Arabidopsis thaliana: one gene and its partner. The protein of the gene in region 1 interacts with the protein of each later gene in a pairwise test. Each region holds a gene or a part of one and is shown in the gene's direction. Other genes may lie near its edges. The genes, in order: LUL3 and AT3G12470.

The links.
Region 2: the proteins of LUL3 (region 1) and AT3G12470 interact in a two-hybrid assay, tested with the Arabidopsis thaliana proteins (one large-scale study listed by BioGRID).

The regions. Positions count from the first base shown.
Region 1 is NC_003076.8:6,376,412-6,381,311, forward strand, and holds LUL3 (RING/U-box superfamily protein), read left to right. Parts: upstream 1-1,737; 5' UTR 1,738-1,988; coding exon 1,989-2,506; intron 2,507-3,008; coding exon 3,009-3,507; intron 3,508-3,756; coding exon 3,757-3,876; 3' UTR 3,877-4,194; downstream 4,195-4,900. Other genes in the region: AT5G19070 (SNARE associated Golgi protein family), read left to right, coding at 1-60, 186-272, 352-468, 562-654, 735-765, 857-1,059. UniProt on the Arabidopsis thaliana protein: Acts as an E3 ubiquitin-protein ligase, or as part of E3 complex, which accepts ubiquitin from specific E2 ubiquitin-conjugating enzymes and then transfers it to substrates (in vitro).
Region 2 is NC_003074.8:3,955,440-3,959,100, reverse strand, and holds AT3G12470 (Polynucleotidyl transferase, ribonuclease H-like superfamily protein), read left to right. Parts: upstream 1-2,273; 5' UTR 2,274-2,315; coding exon 2,316-2,978; 3' UTR 2,979-3,140; downstream 3,141-3,661. Other genes in the region: NF-YC11 (nuclear factor Y, subunit C11), read right to left, coding at 9-102, 194-266, 1,004-1,036.

The DNA.
Region 1 (4,900 bases):
GTGGCGGACTCAGTCGGTGCTACACTTGGCTCAGGAGCTGCATTTCTACTAGGCCGTACGGTAAGCCACTCAAATTCTTATTGATTTGCAGACACAACCATTAGATTAATGAAGTGACATGCATAAACCACTGACGCTATCCTTTTTTGATATTTTGGTACTTACATGAAAATGCTCTTATGCAGATTGGAAAACCTTTTGTAGTTGCAAAATTAAAGGATTATCCTCAGTTTCAATCAGTGGCACTCGCGATAGAGAAATCCGGCTTCAAGGTTTGCACTGAGAACCCATTACAAGTTTTGTGCTGACACTCTTCTTTTGAAACTTATGAATATGCAAAACTGAATATAGATATGCTTGTTGCTCCGGCTTGCTCCTCTTCTTCCGTTCAGCATGTTGAACTACCTCTTATCTGTCACGCCAATTCGGCTAGGTCCATACTTGCTTTCTTCGTGGTTAGGGATGATGGTAATCTATTCTAATCCACCACTTCATAACGACTGCAAAATGTTTAAATTGTAAGATGGAAATAATACAGCTTGATACATTGTTAATTTGCAGCCAATAACACTTGCGTTAGTGTATGTTGGAACAACTCTAAAAGACCTTTCTGATGTAACTCACAAGTGGAGCGAGTTCTCGCCAGGTCGCTGGGTAAGATCTACACAAATTTTAATTACATTCTCAGCTTCTTGTTTCAATCTCTATTCTGACCTGTTTTCCGCAATCTGCAGGCGTTCTTGATTTCGAGCCTTGTAATATCCGGTTAGTTCGGCATAACTAATGTTACTAGTTCCTTCGATTGCGGCAGAATCACTAATGTTACAAGTTCCTTCTTCTATCTGTTTCTTTGCAGTGATATTAATGGTGTGTGTTACAAAGGTGGCGAAGGACGCTCTAAGAAAAGCTTTAGCAGAGCACGGAGGAGACATGAACGAAGCGGTTGCAGCCTTGCCGGAGCTGACCGTTACTGATGATGCTTCGACGGATTTAAATGAGCCTCTCTTGATAAAGATAGATGCACAACAACCTCAAGACCAAGTAAACCATAGTCATTAAAATTAAGATGATGAATACTTACTTTGTATAATCTTTATTTTAACATACAAAGCTTAGTTTTCTTGGTTTGTATAATAATAACATAGATTAAAAATTATTTTTAAAAAGTTATTTTTCTTAGTAACTTTGAGATGTAATTATTAGTTCACAGAGATTTAAAATATTGGATGAATAAAAAGAAACTAAATGGATTTTGGTTTGAGTTTCTAATTGCTCCAGCTAATCAGATATTTTGTTGACATTCACAAGCATTCTAAACATATCTATGACCTAAAAATGTTACAGGTATCTTAAAAATCTCCTAAACCAATATTCAATGAAGATTGTTGAATACGACTAAAGGTATATTTATTATACACAGAATCTGTTATGCATAAATTGAACCCATCAATTGAATATATGGGTATATTCATAACCAAAATTAGCTTTTATGATATTGGCTCAACTATTTTGGACTATTTAAAATCTCATCTTAATAACATAATTGGAAGAAAACCAAAATTAAGATGAAAACTTGTAAACTTTTATAAATGATCTGAATATAATTTACTAACATAATATTCAAAGTTAAGAACTTGTTGATATATGTGGTCAACTATAAAACACCACGTTTGAAATTCATAAGGTATTAGTTGATTTTTCATAGTTTTTCTCTATCAATAATGCTATTCGAAAAACGTCATGTATGTGTGTTTTCTAGATTTGAACAAGAAGAAACGGTCTTGTCTCTTTCGTTAGACGGTCATGTCTTCGGGAACATCCGATTAAAAAAAAAGTTACACGCGTTGACTTTTATTACAAAAATTGCAGTAAATCTGGCAGTAACTGCGTAAAGTAAAAATAATGTAAATAATAATCTTCACCGGAAGACAAATCTTTTGATCTGACTTTCGTCTCTCTGTCTCTCTTGTCTCGTTTCTTCAGAGGCTATGGGGATCTCCTTAAGCAAGCGTCGACGAGACAACAACAACAACCACCACCATCCCCACCACAATCCGCCGTACTATTACTCCGATCCTCCACCACAACAACCGCCGCCTCAAAACGGGTATAGCTACTCTCACAATTACCCCGTTTCAACTCCACAGCTCTCTCTTCCTCCACCACCGGCTCAGCCACCGTCTTCTTCTCAGCCTCCTCCGTCGCAGATTAGTTACCGACCGTACGGTCAAAACTACCATCAAAACCAATACTACCCGCAACAAGCTCCTCCGTATTTCACCGGTTATCATCACAATGGGTTTAATCCGATGATGAGGCCGGTTTATTTCGGTCCGACTCCGGTTGCGGTTATGGAACCGCCTGCACCTTATGTGGAGCATCAGACCGCTAAGAAGGTTAAGAACGATGTCAATGTGAATAAAGCTACGGTGAGGCTCGTAGCTGACGATCTTAACCCTGGTCATTATCTTGTTTCCTTCGTCTTCGATGCCTTATTCGATGGCAGGTATAACTTCTTCACTCCAAAATTTGAGTCAAGTTTCCGACTTTAGAACCAGAATTTGAATGAGATTGGCTAATTAGCGTAGAGGGGTCTTGTAGATTATACTGAATCTCAAATTTGGATCGTAAAGGTTCAAACTTTACATGATATGACTCATTTATTCAGTGAAAGTTAGGGTTTTTGCTGGGACGAGATTGATTAAAAGGAAACATCTTTACTCATGTTTCAGTTCTGAATTATGTGTTGCCACAATTTGGGATGAAAAAGGTTAAAATTTGACATGATCTAGGTGATGAATATGTGATTGGTTCAGAAACCAAACAATACAGGCTTCAGTTACATAACTGATTGATTTTAGGAGTTATTGTAGTTCATTTAATGGTTCGGAACTACTAAGCTAGTTAGCAACTGAATCAACCTTATTACTCTCCTGTGTTGCATACCAAGTTTAGGTATTAAGATTATCTGACGAGGAGTCTCATTATGTTACTTGTCTCATTTTCAGTTTCACTATCATATTTTTTGGAGAAGAGGAATCAAAGTGCACAATCGTCCCTCATTTACCAGAAGCTTTCCCACCAATCAAAGTCCCTTTCCAAAAAGGTGCCGGGCAGAAGTTTCTACAAGCTCCAGGGACAGGAATCGACCTAGGCTTCTTTTCACTGGATGATCTATCGAAACCATCACCAGAAGAGGTGTACCCACTTGTAATATCAGCCGAGACAGTAATATCACCAAGCTCGGTTTCAGAGGAACCATTAGTTCATAAGCAGATCACTCAAGCGGTTTTGGAGAAGACTAATGATGGATCTTTCAAAGTGAAAGTCATGAAACAGATTCTATGGATTGAAGGAGAACGATATGAACTACAAGAGTTGTATGGAATCGATAATTCAATCACACAAGGTACTGCTGCATCGGGGTTAGAGGATACTGGTGGCAAAGAATGTGTCATTTGCTTGACTGAACCTAAGGACACAGCCGTCATGCCTTGTAGACATTTGGTACAAACTTCTAGCAATTCTCTTTGCTTTCTTCAATTCTTCTAAACGCAATTTTTTTCATTTACTCGGTAAACCTATAAATCGTTGGTAGCGTTTCAGTTATGGAACAAGCAAATTCTGTCATTTTAGACTTGCTTCATATTGCTGTTGATTGTCTCTAAAGCAAATCTACATCAAGTCTTTCACAAGACCATAACTTTTTGGTTGAATTGTCATCAAGACTAAATCATGTTGTGTTGTCTGTTGCAGTGTTTGTGCAGTGATTGCGCAGAAGAACTGAGGTTTCAGACAAACAAATGTCCCATTTGTAGACAACCTATCCATGAGCTTGTAAAGATTAAAGTGGAAAGTAGTGATGAACAACACTGAAAAAGAGGTTTCTTCCCTTCACTTAAACACCATGTTTGATTCTTTCTTCTTCTTCTTTTTGAAAACCGTCAAATCGAATTCTTTTGCCCTTTTTTCTTATACAAATGTGTTTTCTCATGTCATACTCTTGCACATATTTGTTGGTCTTAGTTTTGGGAAACTCAAAGAAAAAAAAGTCAGTAATGTATATATAGCTCCAATGGTTCTTGAGAAACTTTCTCTTTGTATCTTTCTACTTGAAACACTCATTCTGTAACTGAATACTTTTTGGTTTGGGCATTGCTCAAATATAACTTGCAATCATATGTTGTTTATCGTAACGTTTCGGGTTTATAATCTAGAAACCGAACCTCCTAGTAACCACAATTCTATATCAAAAATAGACAGGAAAAATCTGCAAGAGTCTTGGATAGCTCTATGTGTCCCTAATTTGGCTTTCTTTTAACTCTTTCTTTTTGAGAAAGTAAAAGTTTGTGTAGATGAGAAAATGGGGACCTTGATAATTACAAAGATTCAAAAGAAAATAAAGAGAGATGGGAACTGAAGTTGATGAGAACATTCAAAGAAGTAATCTTTTTTTCTTCTCTCCTTTTTGCTTTTTGTCTGTAAAAAAGGCTCAAATAAAAGGAAAAGCTGGTAGGAGATGGAGAATGTTTCCTATTGAAGTTAAGCCTGAGAAAGAAAAAAGTTTTAAAAAAAAAGTGAAGCTTGAGTTCATTCTTTTTGACAGAATGCTCAAACTTTTGAAATGAGGAATAAAAAAAAGTCTTTGTTTGATAGTAGTGAAGTGACTCTCTTTACAAGCAATATTATTTCTCCATACACATTATGATTCCATGTGGTATCATATCTATGAACTATGAAACCCCTAGGGTCTATGTGTGATTGTCTTTGTCTTGTTTTGGACTATATAATGAATTTGAAGTGATACTTTTCCCTTTCTGCCTATGACAATGTTTACTAGTCATACCATGATGTTTAATCAAAATTCCTTACCGAATCTCGGCATTGATCACCTATTTCT
Region 2 (3,661 bases), on another chromosome or scaffold:
TTACTTACAGGTGCAATGAGCTCACAGTCTTGGCACCTCTTTCAAGGGTAATTTCATATGTACGATCACAAAGGTCTTGCAAGAACAACTCCAAAGATTTTGCTGTAATAAGAGAACATGAAATTTAGCCAAAGGGTAAAGTTTCCAATAATTCTCTTTTCAAACTGAAGTCAATGATAGCAAGATGACTTACAGACTAAGACAGGCACTGCCAAAGCTATCTTGCCAACATCCTCATCAGCTTGCATAATCTTTTTAATACGAGCCTGAAAAATTGTAATATATGCATCAAATGAAGAAACAGCAACCATCACACAGTGTGTGTGGCAATAATTACAGACTACTAAACGAATTATAAAGCAAATGGTAGAACTGAGAAACACCAAGCACGCTCTGTACAATCACCAATCAGATTATACAAACAAAAATATATTAACAAATTAAATGGAAAGTCAAAATCTGTGAAAAACTAATATTCTAGCCTCAGCTCAAACAAAATAAACCACCATCAACAATAACCAACTTATGAAATCATCTGACGTTTTATTCAATAAAGCTAAACAAAATCTAGCTAGCCAAATTGGAAGCTCTACAAAAAGTTCCAAGCCTATGAAAAAACAATTCGTGTATAACATCCCTGCTTCAATCAACACTATCTAACCAATAGCTGACTGGTTTGTTGATAAAGAACACGTTTCGAGCACTAGTCACCTAAATTCTCGAATTCTCTAATTTACATGAAACATTCCATAGCGGATCTTCATAACACATATTACTATAGCTATATAACAAGCACAACAAAAATTAGGGTGAAATTGACTACTAGGTCATTTGCTAAAACTAATTCGCCAGAAATGAGATACTTAATCTAATTTTCATCGTAGAACACTAATCTAATCCCAAATAGTGTTGGAAATTCGATCTGAAAAACAACAGATCAAAGTAATTTCCGAGAAATTGGACTTCAATTTCAGAAATGATCAATTAGAGACGAAAAACTTACAGCTGGGAACCGAGTATCGAGCTTCTTCCTCATGGTTTTGAAATCCCCAAATCCAGAAATCGTCGAATGAGAAAACGCAAAGCCACCAAAAATAAGAAGGAAAAAAAGGTAAACCCGACCCTTGAGATCAAAAATTGAGGGACGCGAATCTTCTGTACATATACTCCGTTCTAAGATCAGAAAGTAAGTTTCTTCGTCTTCTACTTCATGGATATGCACTATCAGATCCGGCGACGGCGGTTTCCTTGTTACAATCTCCGTGCGATGGAAAAATTAAAATTAAATATATATAATCAAATTAAAGTTTTGGGTCAAAGAAAAAAAATGGGTCGACGACATGGTTATTTAATTAAGTAATGTTAGTTATAAATATACGGCGGAGCACAAAATATAATCGGATTGTTTGAAAAGATCTAACCATACACGTGGCTATGTATTAGTGGATTGTATACGTTTTCTCGTGACAGTATTAATTCTTAGATCTTCATCCACCTTCTCTATTTTTTATTTATTGGATTTTGTTTGAGGATAATGCATCCTTGTAAGTTGTAACACATATGCCTGAACCAAAAAATATGTTTTGGGTTACTTTTTTTTATCACAATTTAAATAAAATAAAGTTAGAATTATTTGTCTTCAAGTTGAATTTAGATACTTATAAACCAAACTGTCGAATTTTAGAAAAAAAAAACAGAAACCACCTTTATTATAAAGTGTGATAAAACAAAGTGGCCTATGTATCCAAAGTTCCAAACAAAATGTTGTGGAATTTATATTTACAACTTTTTTATTTTTTCAGAAGTTATATTTAAAGTTACAAAATTTTGTCAAACCAATATATAGGAAAAAATATCAAGAGTAATTGCGTCATAGCGTTATACGTTGAAAGTTAACTTCATCAGTAATTATGATTTTACATCAGTGAATCATTGTTCGTGAAAAAAACACACAAAAAAAGGTTATGGTTATCTACCTAATTAAGCCCCCAAATAACTGAATAAACTATTTTAGTAAAAAGAAGTACGTAAAAAAGTATTATATTCCATGTCTTCATCAAACCTTTATGGAAATAAAAATAAAAATTCAGAGCCGTAAAATACAGTAATTAGTAAATGTTTTGCGTATACATCTATGATAGGCCTGACGATGTGACAGTACATGCATCTCCATTGTCAACCGTACGATTAAAACTACAAAGATCGACGGTGATTATAACTAGAAACAAAAATGTACCCTATAACAAGAAAAAGAAACCGCTTCTCTTTCTAACACTCGCTCAAAAATTTAGAGAAAGGAAGAAGAAGACAGATCAATGGCTCCGACGATCAAAAGAATCAGAAGTTTCCGTACTCACCAAAAACACTTTGTCGATTTTTTCGGAGACGACTTGATCGTCACCGTTACGCCGACTGCTTCCGTTATCCGCCGCTGGATTCGTAGCGTCCGCTCCTACAACCGTAATCACTCGGTACATCCTCTCGTCGTTGGAATCGGTGTTCAGTGGAGACCGGATAGTTCCGATCCAGATCCACCACCAAAAACTCTCCAGTTGTGCGTCGGTAGTCGCTGTCTCATCATCCAACTAGGTTACAATTACGGTCTCCCAAAAGTCCTCCGCACTTTCCTTGCCGATCCCAAAACGACTTTCGTCGGCGTTTGGAACGGCCAAGACCAGAAAAAACTCGAGAAATGTAGGCATCGAGTGGAGATCGGGAAGCTTCTGGACATAAGGATGTTCGTGAGAGATTCGAGAGGGGCTAGGATGTGTTTTTGTTCGTTTGAACAGATCGTGAAGGAGCGTTTGGGTCGCGTAGGAGTGAGGTTAGATCCGGCGATTTGTATGAGCGATTGGGGCGTTTATAACCTTAACCATTATCAGGTACTTCAGGCGTCGATTGAGTCGTATGTTTGCTTTAAGCTCGCTGTTGAGGAACGTCTCTGGAACTTAAAAGTTGCTGCTAATCTTGTGATTTGAATTTGTTGTTGTTCTTCTCTCTTTATCAATCAACGTCTTCTTCTAATTCATGAAAGTTTTCATGTTATCGTATTTTGTGACTATGAATGTTGACTGGAAAATTAGTACATGTAGACTACGTTTGTAATAAAGGCATTGATATTAAAAGACTATCTAACGTTTTGATTAAAAACAAATACGCTTTGATGAATTATATTATCAATTTTGTTTAATTTGACATGGGACAAAAAAAATCACGACGTACCAAATTGGTCAATCAAATGTTTTTGCACCCAGTTAAATGATTTCCGATTTTTAAACTGGATATAACCTCAAGCAAGATCAAGGATACGAGTTTACAACTGAGATGCGTTTATCAATCCTAATCTTGATTTAGGATAATACTAATTTTTAGGAGTATATAACATTAGCTAACGTAATCTGATAAACTATACTCAAAATATTCTCCATAATTCAAATTTCGAGATCTTTATAAGAAATTCTTTTTGAATTCAAATCAGTAATAACCATTAAGGTTTGGCGTAGGTTAATGACGTCACACTGCATCTCAACCGTCCAAATTTAACTGCATTTATTTTCAAAAAGATCAATGGTGATAGCGAGCACCAGTACTACAATTTAACTAGCCTCCGACGATTGCAAAAGGAGAAGAAAGCAGTTTCATCATTATCTCTGCTTGAAAA